Linked DNA regions of Drosophila melanogaster. The protein of the gene in region 1 interacts with the protein of each later gene in a pairwise test. Each region holds a gene or a part of one and is shown on either strand. Other genes may lie near its edges.

Region 1 (3,556 bases):
CGATTTTATCATTCTCTTCTCTTCGGTGGGTGGAGCCTAACTTTCTATTGAAATCTCAATTTTAATTTTACTAAACTTTTATTGCTCCCGTTCGGTGAATGTCCAACTGTGATTCCCCAGATCCTATCCTAGCTTTTAGTTTTAGCTTAAGTTTTAGTTGCCGTTTCCGTTCGCGATGCAAGCAAAGCCTTATTAGCTACACTGAACGAATTCGAATGGGAATTTTGTAACAACAAATGGTTTTCTGAACACCGAAGATAAATGGACTGGGAGAAACTCATATTTTGAAGTAATGAGAATTAAATGTGAGCATAAAGGACTATCGAGCAATGCGATTTCTTACAGTGCACTTGCAGTTGCTGTTGGCTTACTGCTATTGCTGCCGGTTGCAGGTGGCCGCCATTTGGGCCATGATTTATGCAGTGGCCGGGCATTAGAAAGGTCGTTCGCAGTTGTCGTCGCCAGTCGTGATTTCAGTGGAGAATGAGGAGCAGGTGGGAAACGAGCTCCGTGGGGCGGAGGAGCTTGGTCAGGAGAGAGAGGATGGGGGATATAAGTAAGCCAAGAAAATCCATTGCCACTCAGAGTCGGACGTCTTAATTAGGTTTTCTGCTGAAAAGTGCCGAAAAATGTTGGCTAATGCCCAACTTGCCACGCCCACACGAGCAGCAGACATTGTCTCTGACCCACAAATGGTCCTCCATCCTACCAAAAGCCCCTCTCCCTTTTTAGTCATGCCCCAATTTGAAGCTTTCTTCTGGTTCTCCCAGCGCGATTATAAATGACATCGCATTAGTCTTGGTCGGGTTAATGTGCGTTTCCTTTGGCCAAAAAACTGCCAACTTCGCACAACTTCATTAGTGGAGAACCATGTGAGAAAAGCAGAATATCAGACACTTGTCTCCCGCTTGAAGAGTTCCGGGAATTAAAGTACAGTTGCTTTTTCGTCCTACGCAGGTCTTGATTCTAGCCCTTTGAGGCATTCAGTTAGAATGGCTAAGTATGAACATTAAGTTATCAAAACATCTTATATACTTAATACGTTCAAGACAAAGTGCTACATATAAAAATATCCCCTATAAAAGGTACATTTTCTGCTTACCAAAACTAAATACCAAACCTATAAACTTGAGCTTAAATTATAACATTTTACGTAAGATACATTTTTAAGTCATTACCAGATAAAAATGAACTGTAAGTTTTCATCTGCGTAAAAACCTATTTTACCAAAATTCTAATCTAAAGAGTCGGTGGTTTGGGCAGTTCTTCGATCCCTGAGTTCCTGCTGATGCTTAATGGTCACCTCGAGGAACTTCAGATAGCCCTCGTCAATGGGTTCGATCTCCTCATCCTCGGAAGAACTCTCGTACACGTAGTCCAGGCAGTGAAACGTTCCTGTTTCCTTGGGAATATCCTCAAGGTCCTGATCCAGATTCGGATTAACCTCAGGGCAGAGACTCATAACATGATTGTGGTGCCATTCAAAAAGGCTTTGGTATACTACAATAACAGGGAATTTTAAATGGTTAACACTATTAAAAAACTTATTAATGACTATTATTGTTACTTTGAGCCACATTGCTCCACTGATCTCGAGATGTATGTGGCTTCGGCTTTCCCTCACTTTTCTGCCTTCGTCTGCGCTGCTTGCTCCTATTCCTGTTTCTTTTCCTTGCCATTTCCTCCGATTTCCAATCCTCCATTGGCTTTTATTAGGAAAATACAAACATTCGTCGCCTTTTGTTTACTTCTCAGCATAAGCAATAACAAGATTGCAGTGTTGCCAAATTATCCAAAATGTGGCCAGAAACTGAAATCTAGCGACCGCTTCACAGAATTATATATTTTGGTTCATATGAAGCGCTTTAATAATGATTCATTATAATTTTGATTTGGCAATTGGTTGTTTTCTTTGTAAATAATTTTAAATAATATCTTTTTAAAAGCAGTTTAAGATTGTGATGTGAATAATCGTCTATCGGACTGTAACAGCTGTTAATTCCAGTGTGTGTACAGATTGTAAACAACGCGAACTCCAGATGGCGTCTTATTACTGTTACCGGAAATTAAGTACAGGGGCTTTCAGGGAACAACAGATGGCGCCACCATGTTACTTTTAGATATAATAATTATTGTTTCTAACTTAGAATCTCATAGATACATATTAAAAAAAATTGTCTTAAAAATCAATACAATATATTACAAAATTTATATAATTAATAATTATGAAATTATGCCGCAAATTAATGAAATGAAATTTTATTCATTTTTGAAGAATTACTTATTCCAACAAAATCTCTTCATTTCTTAAATGATAAAACCCTTATATTTCCCTGCCCTCGCGGCCAACCCCTTGAAGGCCTTTTCCGGTCAACCGACTGACTTCAAAACTCTGGTTCAGACCTTCCCGGCAAAGGGCAAGCGCAAAGTTAAAGCCAGAGCAGAAGCCAAGCCGGATCGGACCGAAATCCAGATCCAAGCCAATCCCAGCCAGAAACATAGCCAAACCAGGGCTAAGGCTAAAGCCTGAGGAAAAGGCAGAGGAGTTTTGTTTTTCTAGCAAATTCAAATCCCGCGCTTATAAATCTCGGTCGATCGGTCGGTCGCTCGAAGTAGCGAAGAAGAAGTTCGGGAACCAAAACTAAAACTGGGATTAGGGCGGATCAATTTGGCTGTAGTGCGAATGCAAATTGGCCAGCGGTACGATTTAAATGAGGCGGCCAAACAAAGAGCACATTGATATGGAGTGCATCCTGCTGAGCCGGAACAAAAAGTCCGGGTATGGATGCACTTCCACTTTACCTGCCTCGTCCGGTTCATAAAGGAAAATTAGGTTTACACCTTCCCGGCCAATATGTTCATAAAACAATTTAGAGATTTACAAGGGGATCAACTTGAATGTGGTGCACAGTACATTCCATCCAACATATCCTGTGCCCCTCGTTCTTTTTTCCGTTCTCTTAAGTGGGTGTGGGTGTGTTTGTATTGCGGTTTTAGTGTAGCGAAAAAGGCGCGTGGTTATGGTTATGGATACGGATACAGATATGGATATCATGGCCATCATCCCGCCCATCATCCCTCACTTTTCCCGAGCAATTCACACATGTTTACTTTGGCAACTAGCGGGGGGAACGAAAGCTCTTCATTTCCGATGAAGTAATATGCGTTCTGATAATATGAAAAACATCCTGCGGCCAGGATTTGCACGCACTTATTCCCTTTTAATGGACTTGGCCAGCGATTTTTTGCCCGCATTTATTTTGCATATTTTTTGCGCGCATCGAAGCCAAAAAAAGATTTTAATTCGAGTGGTTCCTACGTGTGCTGGTGCCAGTAAACTAGTTCGGAAATTCGAATTTACATTGAAATAATTTCAGATTTGGAGAGCATAAACTTATAGACGACGTTGGTCAGGATGGCGGATCATGCTCAAATAGAATATAATATATAGTATATATAGTTGAAAACAGCAATGAAATAAGCTTCTAAACTATAGAATGGTGTAATTTTTACGGTACCATGACTTTTGTTTAATTTTTACATATTATTTTTTATA
Region 2 (3,896 bases), on another chromosome or scaffold:
TGAACTTTTGCCCCAATTGCCGGAGTAGAAGCCATATCCAATCACACTCAATTGCTATCCACAAACGATTCCAATTGACCGGCGATTGATTGCCCAATGTCTGCACGCACTTCCTGGTGCAGCATTAGAATTCAATAGACGCCCGACTTCAGCTGGCTCCATTCTGCAATCCCGTACTGACTCATTGCCCGGCACTTTCAGAATTTATGCAATACTGCGGTACGTGCTCTTATGCTAAAATATTGCATTAGAACACCCAGCGAACGTGACTTGATTGCAGGGCTAGAAATAGCAGCACTACCTTTAAGCCCTCGGATAAGCCACTGAGACAAGTCTACCTATTCTTCTGATTAGTGTTGCTTATACGAACATGAAGGATCCCATAAATATTCTTAAACATCAACTGATAGTCCTGCAACTGTCTAATCCTTCATATAGCCTGAAAATCTACCTAACTTCACAGCTTACTAATATAAACAAAAAAGTTACATCTTTAGTAGTTTATTATTAGTTTATAATAATCAGAGAACATATGCATTTCTTAGAAATTTCCGTGAATAAATGACCATTATTACAAGCACAACTTACGCATTAAACAATAATAATTGATTGATTAATACATATTCATATGTATTAATTACATCATCGGATCATTCAAACTTTCCCAACAAATGCAGTTAAGCTATTGCTTACCACACAAAATAAATCAAAATAAAGCCATCCATTAAGCCGGATCATTAACCCGATTCCATACTGCTGAATGGATAATCCAGCAGCTTGTCAATGAACTTGTAAATCGGGAGTTCCAGGAACTCCGACGCCCGTCGAAAACGAAGTGCTGACTGAAGTTCCGTTTGGTTAGTTTAATCATTTACTGTTCATAAGAGATCTATATATGTATGTACATAACAATTTTTACAGAGATATTCGGTTACAGAAGAAATTTTGTAAAAAGCTTATCTAAAAACCATAAATTTGAATATCCATCAGATAATGGGTACGAAATCAGATCATCCCTCGACAGTTGACTGTTGCTGGTTACTTAACTTATTTTTCAGCGCAGAGGAGAGGCAGTCCAAGTTATGGGATCGAATTTTTGAAGACCTGGGATTCGCCTCAAAACTTGGTGGCTTATCAGAGCCCGCCGAGCTGGAATCTTCCTTATCGCCTTCGCCAAATTTCCGTTTCTTGCGATGCTTTATTTGATCACTCGGCTTGGGCATTGGTAGCTGTTCGGAAGGGATCGATCTGACATCAGCTTTATCGTCATGGTTGTTGTGAATCTTCTGATGGCGCGTTTTTTTAACTTTCTTCTTCTGGAGACTTGCCATGATACTTATCATTTCCTCCTGCTGGGCTTCGTACCTGGAGATGATGGCGTTCCGGCGCTCCAGCTTGGCGGTGAGGAAACCGACTTGGTTCTTGAGGCTGTCCACTTCCCCAGCCTGCTCGGCAATGGTCTTCATCTCGCGGCGCACCCGCTTCATCTCCTTTTCCACCAGTTCGGCATTCTGCCGGACTTCGGTCATACGTTGCTGGTACTTGTTACGTGTGAGATTGATCTGCTCCTCCAGGAAGGCAATGTACTTCTCCTGCTTAGCCACGTGCTCGTCAAGTTTCTCCAGCTGCTGGCTCAACACTGAACACTGCTCGGCTCCACCGCACTCCCGCTCATTCCGATTCGATTGAGCTGCGGCTAGTTCGCTCTGTAGAAGCTGGATCTCCTGTTCCATACGCGCCTGCAGAACCACCTGCTCCTGCCGATACTTACGATGTTGGTTGTGCTTGGAGCGCAGCGAGGACACCTCGCTCCGCAGGAGAACCACCTCGTTCTCCAATCGGGCTTTGGCTCGATCGTGGTATGGCATCGCGCTGGACGAATGAAATTTTGGTAGTCCAAAACACACGGCTTGTCTATTGGAAAATTGCTTCAAGATTGGGGTGTCTATTGGGATTTTGAAGGCATTCAGTGGGGAATCCGAGATCTGACATTTAAAAACTTAAATAAAACGTTGTTATGCAAGCATGCTCCGGTAATTGAAATTTTTTTTGATTACGCAATTCAATGGCAACCTTCGATATTTGTTCCCCTGTAAATAAGATCTGATTTGATATAAAAAAAAGGCATTTACTTTTTATTTCGACCAGATAAAAGTGCCCGTTTTACAAATCGAAAAATTCGAACGAAACGAAAACCGAAAAATCTGTGCTTTCGATTTAAGATCGATATCGTAAATTACGATAAATTCTCGATGATTCCAGTTTTTAAGCGATTACATTCCACGTGGCATTTGCTTAAAAACCTAATTTCAGGTAAATATCAACGTTATTTATAAATATAAGTCCATTCAAAGACCACTAATTAATAGGCTAGCCTAACTAACCATCAGTCTTGAACATTTGGCTTAAATATTCTGGATAAAATGGAATTCAATTACCTTGCTGATTCCGCACTTTCCACTTTAGTGGAAAACAAAAAGTTCTTCAAGGAAATGTCAGATTTCGTGTCCGATTTCAGCGATGGCGGGAAGATCAAGAAGTTGCTCGAGCAGAGCGTTGAGCAGAGCGTGGAGCACGCCGTGAATGTAGTCCATATGAAGATAAAGCACCAATCGCTCAACAAGGCTATGAATCAGGTCAAAAACTCTAGCGCCACCATCGAGGAGTTCGAGGAAGTCTGGAAGGAACGCTCCAAAGCGGTGGAGCAGAAGCGCATCAATGTCAAGAATCTACACGAGTTCAAGAACTTCGTAAAAGCAGTTGAATCAGCAGCTGGTCAGGCGGGTGCGGAAGTCAATGATCAAGCGAATGGCACCGCCTATGATGAGGACCTTATTATGGAAGACTCCGGCAGCGAGGTCTTCTCGTTCTACGATCCCTGGTCCAAGGCCCTGATAAAGAACCCCATGCGCAACAAAATGTGCGGTCACATCTACGACCGCGACTCGGTGATGCCGATCATAATGGACCGCATTGGCATCCGATGCCCGGTGCTCGGCTGCGCCAACTTGTGCTACATCCAGCCAGATCACCTGGTCCAGGACGCCAATGTCCAGCAAAAGATACAACAGAGCATGTCTAACGCGATCGTGGATGTAACTGCCTCGGAGGAGGACGAGGAATAGAACAGATAATGATTGTGCCCAACTCCGTCCTTGTTGAGAATTAACTTAGTAAAATAAAATAAATTCATTGTTGCCATTATTTTATTTTATAATAACTTGTACTTCTATTAATACACATATATGCTAATTTAAGCTGACCACAAAACCCAGTGAAACCACAATGTACACACAAGAATACGATTCACAACATATTCCTGTACCTACTTGTGTTTTCATTGGACTTCTTGGTCGAATGCGAAATTTTCTTGGAGTGAAGATACTGGATCAGCAATTGGTTGGCCGAAGATTGCGGCTTCACTTGGATGTCGCTCCTTTGCAGCTTCTCCACGGCACCGAGCATGTCCTGGCAGTGGTGGCCAATCCGCTTGGCCCGATCCCTTTCGACACTGGCCAGCACCTTTTGCAGATGCGACTCCAGCATGATGGCATTGTTCTTGATGGTGGACACCTGGCGCTCATAGTGCGCCTTTATTCTTTTCATCTCCCGCTGCTGCTTCTCGATGCGACGGGCCTGCATAAGGATTATGTCCGCCAGGTTTTGGCGATCGGTGTGATGCTGCTCTGCCTTACAATCCTGCTGCACCAGGACACCAAATTCTTCCTCGGAGATCGGACTTCCTATGCGCTTCAGGCTGGAACTCGTATTCCGACCGACAGTTTGTAGAGACTGCAATGGTTTCCTAGATGGCCTGGAGGACATCTTCTGAGTCTTTTGCCGCGTATCTAAAGTTCTTCGGGAATATGGCCTTTCATTCGGCAAACCAGGCAATC
Region 3 (7,813 bases), on another chromosome or scaffold:
CAAAGGGTCGTCTTCGGTCCAAAAGAAATGCACATAAAATATAAGAATATTAGGCAAACACAGGGCAATTTGGTCAGAGGATATACGAGTGTTTATGCAAGTTCACTTGGCAATTAGGGAGTTCAAACAACTAAGAAACGGCAATTCCGACCAATCTGCTCGAAAATAAAAAATATGCTGTTGCACGTTTAATTTGTTTAACAATTACACTTTGCTTTGCAACTTTTCGGATGTGCGAAGTGGTCGGATTATCTTGGAAAGCCCTCGGATTGCAAATGGTACAAAAGAAATTTTAAATAAACAATTTTAAATAAATAAAAATAAACATACTGTAGAAAAGTATTCAATAAACAAATGTTAAATAAGCATAGCGAAGGTTGTAAAATATTATTAAAGAGAAAATAGTCAATCAATTAGCGTGAAACAGTGCCTCGCAAATAATAAAATCGAAAAACATTAATGTCCTTTAAGTCCTTTTAGAAGTGCCGCCACCTAGCGACTCAACATTTCTAAAACAATGCAACCAAGCAAATAACAGCAGCACATTTTGTATGGGCAGCACTAAGAGATTGTCCAAACTCACCACATTGGCTCGAGTCTTGGCTAGGTGTGGAACACGGCTATTGGGATTCATTTTTTTTCAAGTCTTTTTGAAAAATTTAAAATAAATATAAATTATATAATATAATATAAATTATATTTACCAGTACAAAAATTGAGATCAATAAAAAAATATGTAATATTTTTCAGATCTTGAAATAATGTGCTCATTCACACATGTTATTTTGCTTAAAATATTGCATTATCTTTGCAAATTCAGAAAAAAAGTTAAAAAATAAATGGACAGTGGATAAGTACAGTGACGTTTACCTTTATTAAACAGACTTGGCTACAAAATTGGGGGTCGCGATTTTTACAATTGCAATTTGAAAGTTCCACCTGAAACTGGTGGAACTTGACCAGGTCGGCCACCGTTTGGGGTATATCAACTAAAGTCTAGGATTAGTTTTTTAATCGTTATCGGATCGACCCGAGGACTTTTTGGACTTCTTATGCTTGCGCTTCTTTTCGCGATGCCGATTCTCTGAGCTGGAATCGCGTTTGCTCTTGGCGCCGGTGCTGGTGGCATCGGTTTTGGACGCACTTCCGGCGGATGCAGCCGCATCCGGGTCCACGGAATCCTCTTCATGCAGCTTCCTGAGCGTCTCGGCCTTCAGGCGCTCCAGTTCGTTGAGCTCGCGGGTGGTGCGCTCCTTATCCAAGTCGTCCTGGCGCTGCTTCTCCATGCGGCGTTCCTCCTCCTTGGCGATCTCGTTGCGCATGTGCTCCTTCATCAGCATGGCGGCCTCCGCACGCTTCTGCATCTTCTCGCGGGCCGCCTTCTCGCGCTCCTCGCTCATGGGCAGCGCGGAGGTGAGCTTGGGCAGCGGACTGCGCGAGCGACGGCGGCGAGAGCGACTAGTTGAGGGACTGCGACTGCGCGAGGAACTGTGCCAACGTCCACGGCTGCGACTGCGCCTGTTGCCGGACGATTCACGGCGTCTTCTGCCATCGGAGTCCTGGCGCCTTCTGCCAGAAGATTCCTGGCGTCGTCTGGCCGGTGAATCCTTGCGCCTTCTGTCAGGCGAGTCCCTGCGTTTCCTTTCCGGCGAGTCCTGACGCTTTCTGCCTGGCGATTCTTGTCTTTTCACAGGAGAATCCTGACGCTTCTTATCAGAATCCTTTCGCTTTTTGCTCGGGCTATCCTCTCGTTTCTTACCCGCAGAATCCTCCTGCCTTTTGCTGTCCTGTATCTTTTTGTCTTGGGAATCCTCCCGCTTTCTATTGGCGGAGTCCTTGCGCTTCCTTGCAGGTGAATCGTCACGCTTCCAGTTGGGAGAAGCCTCCCGCTTCCTGTCGTGTGAATCGTCTCGCTTTCTTTCAGGCGAGTCACGCCACTTTCTTTCCGTTGAATTGGGACGCTTCTTACTCGGCGAATCCTGACGTTTTCGGCCCGGCGACAACTGACGCCTCTGGCTGGGTGAATCCTGCCTACGGTTCTGACTGCGGGAGCGCTGCTGACGCCGGCGGTCTCCACTGGGCGAGCCTCTTCCTCTGATTGGTGACAGGGGGTAACGATTGCGGTACTCATTATCCTGAGAGCGCGAGCGACGGCGGCGATCTCTGTCCGCGAAGGGATTTCGGCGATTGCCACGATTAAGCTGATTCTGATTCTGATTCTGATTTTGATTCTGATTCTGGTTTTGGTTGTAGTTTTGGCCAGGACGTCGGGCAGGCGAGCGTTGCTGACGACGAGCAGGAGATTGGCGACGAGGGCTCCGGGAACGGCTGCGCTTTGGCTTGGCCTTCTCCTCGGTGGGCTTGCGCTCATCGCGTTTCGCGTTGCGATCCTTGCTGGTCGATGGCTCCACTCTGATATCCTGCTTGCTTGGTGGTTTCACCTTCAACTGCTCCTCGTCCTCGGACTCGACTTCGGATTCTGTCTGCTGCTCGTAGTCCAAGGCGTTCATGTCCATCGACTTGCGGCGTTTTACAGGAGTCACATCCCTAGCCTTATCCTTCTCGCCAGCCTTTTCTCTCTCCTTGGCTTTACCGCGGTCTGCGGTGTCCTTCGACTTGGCTTTGTGCTCTGGAGAGAATCGATCCGGAGTTATTTTGCCACCGTAAGTGCTGGCATGGGATAGCTCGAAAAAGGACTGCTTAGGATTCTTTGTGGCCTCCTCGTGGCGACGCTTTCTCTCATGCTCGCGCCGCTTCATCTCCTCCTCGCGCATCTTGCTCTCCTCCTCAATGCGCTCCAAGTCGGACAACTTGATGGTGCGCTTCTGGGCATGCTTCCAGTGAGGTGGCGTAGTGCTGCGCGAACGACTACGCGACGGGGTGCGAAAGCGCTGTAAATGGTGTCATTTTAGAAATTGTGTGCGGAGTTACAAACAGTTTTATATACTCACAAACACTCCGCGTCCTTTGACAATGCGACCACTACGCGATGTAGGCGGTGCCTGCTTCTTTGACCAACCGAAATTGTTACGGCTGCGGTCTCGATCCTGATCTTTGCCTCGATCACGATCCTGCCCGCGTGCTCCACGCTCCTCACGATCCAGCGACTTTGATCGCTCTGCGCGCATTAGGAATTTGTTCGATACCTAAATACAGAAGAGTATAGGATGAAGGGTACATATTCAAGAACAGGAACAGAGAATCCACTTCAGTTACCTCTGGTATCTCGTTAGGATCTATCTTTGTAATTGTGACCAGCGGATGCAGTTCGCCTTCCTCGCGGTCCTCGTCATCATCCTGCGGGGTCTGGTCATGTTTTCCATTCCCGCGACTTGTTTCATTGCTGTACGAACGAAATGAAATGAAACAAATTACAAAATAACAACCACTATCACATACTCTTCGCTATCGCTTTGCGACTTCGTATCTTTGCGGCTGCGTTTTTTCTTCTTGGCCTTGCGCACGACCTTTGCTTCAGCCTCACTTTCCTCGCTGTTTGAATCTTCGGTGGCCGTGGAGCGCCTCTTGTGCTTCTTCTCCTTTTTGGCTATGTGACGAGAAGCATGTCAAGTATAATGGATATGCGAAAATGGATTACAGTCGTACCCTTTGTCTGTCTAACTAGTTCACCGCAGTTGGCAATGGCTGCATCCTGCAGCGGGCGTGAGTTCCGATCGACAGGCAAGCCCTCCAATTGGCGCACCAACTCCTGACCGGATATAACTTGGCCGAATACAACATGGATACTGCAACGAGAAAATATGACGCTATTAATCTGTTGATCTACTTAACGTGTTCAAAGCTAACTTACTTGTCCAAATGTGGCGCAGGCTGTGTTGTACTACAATGAGAAACAGAAGAAGAGAAAAATATTCTTTACACTTTGGCTAACTGGTTGTTGGGCTGCAGTAGGCAGTTGTAGTTGAAATCGGTGTTGTTGTTGTTGTTTCAGTTGTTGTTGTTGTTATTGTTGTCGGTTGTGGCGGAGACAATGTCATGTGCAACAAAGTTTAAAGGTTTCTAGGTGTGTAGGCAGAGGTGGCACACAGGATTTTGGCAAGCCACCAACCGCAAGAGCCGCTGCCGCTGGCCATGGCCAGCACATTGTCATCTGGCAGATCCATCGTGAGGATCCAGCCCAAGATTCCCGCAAAGATCCACAAGGAGCCGACAGCGAGAGAGAGAGAGATTGAGACACACACTGAGACCCAGGCCCAGGGACCAAAGACCATGGAGCTGAAAGACCTGCATCGTCTTTCGCTTGGTTTTTGGACCCACAGACCAAATGCACTAGGGATGCTGGGATGGCGGTGCATCGGCCGATGGAGGACAGATTGCGATGCATCTGTCCGCTGGTCAGTGGGACGCTAGCTCACACTTTAACGCCCACGGGCTAAGGCTAAATGGCAATAGATTAATGAACAACAACAGTGGTTTAAGTATAGATCAAAAAGAAGACGAAGAGAGTTTAGCTGTAATATCGGTGCCTGAAACAGAACTGAAACTAAATTTACGGCCACGTTAGTCCGGACCAGCCGGTTACGGTCCTCCGTCGAGAGCACTTACATAAAGAACTGCGAGCCATTTGTGTTCTTGCCCCGGTTGGCCATCGACAGCAGGAAGGGACGATCGTGCTTCTTTTCGAAGCTCTCATCTGGAAAGAGGAATCGGATTGTTTAAACCAAATTCACTTTAAATGTTACTTTAAAGCCCAAGAGAGATGAGCAACTCAAGTTATCTTCTAGATAACTTTTTAATGCGCATGTAATTGGATTTCCCAAAGCCGCTTCTATTTGCATATTTGTCCCATTTTCCACCCAAACGTATAATTAGCAATATGTAGATGTATGATGTGCACCATTCCCTTATCTTTCTAATGGAAATATTTGCCAAAATGTAAATTTAAATTGAGTCGCTTGAGTAAACATTTATTTTTGACATTTAAATGGGGCATTTGTACACTTTGGCTGGCATATCAAAAGCGTTTTAATTTTTTTCGACAAAGATTAAACTTAAGTAGATTATTGTAGTGCAGTTTAGATGTAATTGGCTGGAAGTTTTTAAATCTCCAAATGTGGGTGTCTGTATTTACAGTGTTTTTATTACATTTCTCCCCCTACTGACTCTTTATTAATTGCACTTTAAGTACCCTGTATATTCCCTTTCGTTTTCTGTTCTTCTTATCAGATAACCACTGTATTGATTTTTTCCCACACAAACAGCAGCACACACACACAAGCGTGTATGTATGCATGCAGGCATCGAATCGGAAGCCGGAAGAACTCACCCTCGAACGTCCCGCCGTAGATGGACTCGCCGCCGGTGCCGTTGCCCGCAGAGAAGTCGCCCGCCTGGACCATGAAGTCCTTGACCACCCGGTGGAATATCACACCCTTGTACTGCAGCTTCTTGCCGGTGATTAGGCCAAATCCCTTTTCGCCCGTGCAGAGTGCGCGGAAATTTTCGGCCGTTTTGGGCGCCACATCGTTGAAGAGCTCGAAGACAATGCGGCCCATGCCCAGGCCGCCCAGGGAAATGTCAAAGAAGCACCGCGGTCGCGTGGCACCCGCGTCGCGTTTGTTTACCGTCATTATATGCGCCGATTTCTGCCAATAAATGCTGTTTAATACGTATTTCACGCCGTTTTCGAGTTGCACAATGTCGGCGTTGCCAGCTCTACTCAGAACTAGGGATGTCAAAAACATACAGTTAGAAATATCGATGTGCAATATGCTTAGCATATTTTCGGGTATCGATATATTAATTTTAATATATATATTTTCTTAAATTTGTTAATACATACATATGTACGCTCAAATAAACGGTAAACTTTGAGCTATATATAGTCAAAATACACCATTGATTACTCTCAGCAACCAATAATCATTTTATGCTTTTTGGTATAACTTCCAAAACCTTTAGAACATGGGTTGAAAATATTATCTTCAATGCTCATATTTTTGGGAAAAACAGAATGTCGTTTAAACCAACTATGAAATGAGATCTGGCCTTTATGGTCATATTATATTAAGCTTTTTCAGACAATTTACACAGTTAACATCTTTGTATATAGCTTTAAAAGTTTATTATATTATTCAATACATAGTAAAAAAATAATTTATTAAATTACCGTTCCATCCCTGGCTGCAATACGGTCACACAAAGCCAATGTTTACATGGCAGCTCGCGTGTGGCTGTAGCTGTGTGCGTGAGCGAGAGCGCAAGAGCGGCGCGTGTGTGCGTGCGAGCGGGAGAGCAGGGCGAAGACGTGTTCTTTTCGCCGAAAAAGCAAATAATTGGGTTGGTTTATCAGAGAAAAACAAAAAAAATTCCAGCCAGTGTCGCGATAAAAACACGACAATCGCATTGCAGCCGCCTCAGAAGTGTAAGATCAGCCTCAGCTGACCGGAAAGTTAACATTGCGACGTGGAAAACCACGAATCACCAGCAAATTTCAGCAAAAGCAATCGCATTTCAGAATGTGTGGCATATTCGCGTACCTAAACTACTTGACGCCCAAGTCGCGACAGGAGGTCCTGGATCTCCTGTTGCAGGGACTGAAGCGGCTGGAGTACCGCGGCTACGACTCCACGGGCATAGCCATCGATGCGCTGAACTCTGGCGAGGCACAGTCCATAATGCTGGTGAAGCGCACCGGGAAGGTGAAGGTGCTGGAGGATGCGGTGGCGGAGGTGTGTCGCGGCCAGGACTACTCGCTGCCCATCGACACCCACATAGGCATAGCACACACGCGCTGGGCCACCCACGGTGTGCCCTCCGAGGTCAACTCGCATCCGCAGCGATCCGATGAGGATAATAGCTTTGTGGTGGTGCACAATGGCATTATAACCAACTACAAGGATGTGAAGACGCTGCTGGAGAAGCGCGGATATGTATTTGAGTCCGACACGGACACGGAGGTGATTGCCAAGCTGGTACACCACCTGTGGCAGCAGCATCCTGGCTACACTTTCGGCGAGCTCGTGGAGCAGGCCATTCAGCAGCTGGAGGGCGCCTTCGCCATCGCCTTCAAGTCGAAGCACTTCCCGGGCGAGTGCGTGGCCTCCAGGCGAGGCTCACCGCTTCTGGTGGGCATCAAGGCCAAGACCAAGCTGGCCACCGATCACATACCCATCCTGTACGCCAAGGCCCATCGGCCACATGGTCAGCCGCAGCAGCAGGCCTATCAACTATTGCCGCCCGGCGATTGCAACGCCGAGTTTCAACCGCTGGAGCGCAAGGAAGTGGAGTACTTCTTCGCCTCGGACGCATCGGCTGTTATAGAGCACACGAATCGGGTGATTTACCTGGAAGATGACGACGTGGCCGCCGTCAAGAGCGATGGCACGCTCAGCATTCATCGCCTAAACAAATCATCCGATGATCCGCACGCCCGCGAGATCATCACGCTGAAAATGGAGATCCAGCAGATCATGAAGGGCAACTACGACTACTTTATGCTGAAGGAGATCTTCGAGCAGCCGGAATCCGTGGTCAACACCATGCGCGGCAGGATGAGGTTCGATACGCAGACCGTGGTTCTGGGTGGCATCAAGGAGTACATACCGGAGATCAAGCGCTGCCGCCGCTTGATGCTAATTGCGTGCGGCACATCCTACCACAGTGCGGTGGCCACCAGGCAGCTGCTGGAGGAACTGACCGAACTGCCCGTTATGGTGGAACTGGCCTCCGATTTTCTGGACAGAAACACGCCCATTTTCCGGGACGACGTGTGCTTCTTCATCTCCCAATCGGGCGAGACAGCGGACACCCTGATGGCGCTCAGATACTGCAAGCAGCGAGGAGCGCTCAT

The links. The genes of interacting proteins can lie anywhere in the genome.
Region 2: the proteins of CG13689 (region 1) and CG13733 interact in a two-hybrid assay, tested with the Drosophila melanogaster proteins (one large-scale study listed by BioGRID).
Region 3: the proteins of CG13689 (region 1) and Moca-cyp interact in a two-hybrid assay, tested with the Drosophila melanogaster proteins (one large-scale study listed by BioGRID).

The regions. Positions count from the first base shown.
Region 1 is NT_033779.5:601,018-604,573, reverse strand, and holds CG13689 (uncharacterized protein), read right to left. Parts: upstream 1,762-3,556; 5' UTR 1,704-1,761; coding exon 1,568-1,703; intron 1,501-1,567; coding exon 1,235-1,500; 3' UTR 1,012-1,234; downstream 1-1,011.
Region 2 is NT_037436.4:17,476,939-17,480,834, forward strand, and holds CG13733 (uncharacterized protein), read right to left. Parts: upstream 1,989-3,896; 5' UTR 1,869-1,988; coding exon 1,011-1,868; 3' UTR 857-1,010; downstream 1-856. Other genes in the region: qjt (quijote), read left to right, coding at 2,424-3,125; CG6333 (uncharacterized protein), read right to left, coding at 3,307-3,896.
Region 3 is NT_033777.3:28,338,213-28,346,025, reverse strand, and holds Moca-cyp (Moca-cyp), read right to left. Parts: upstream 5,693-7,813; 5' UTR 5,592-5,692; coding exon 5,288-5,591; exon of another isoform or gene 5,226-5,287; intron 4,655-5,225; coding exon 4,567-4,654; exon of another isoform or gene 3,842-4,566; coding exon 3,812-3,841; intron 3,747-3,811; coding exon 3,607-3,746; intron 3,548-3,606; coding exon 3,400-3,547; intron 3,344-3,399; coding exon 3,217-3,343; intron 3,147-3,216; coding exon 2,952-3,146; intron 2,892-2,951; coding exon 1,011-2,891; 3' UTR 857-1,010; downstream 1-856. Other genes in the region: Gfat2 (Glutamine:fructose-6-phosphate aminotransferase 2), read left to right, coding at 6,480-7,813.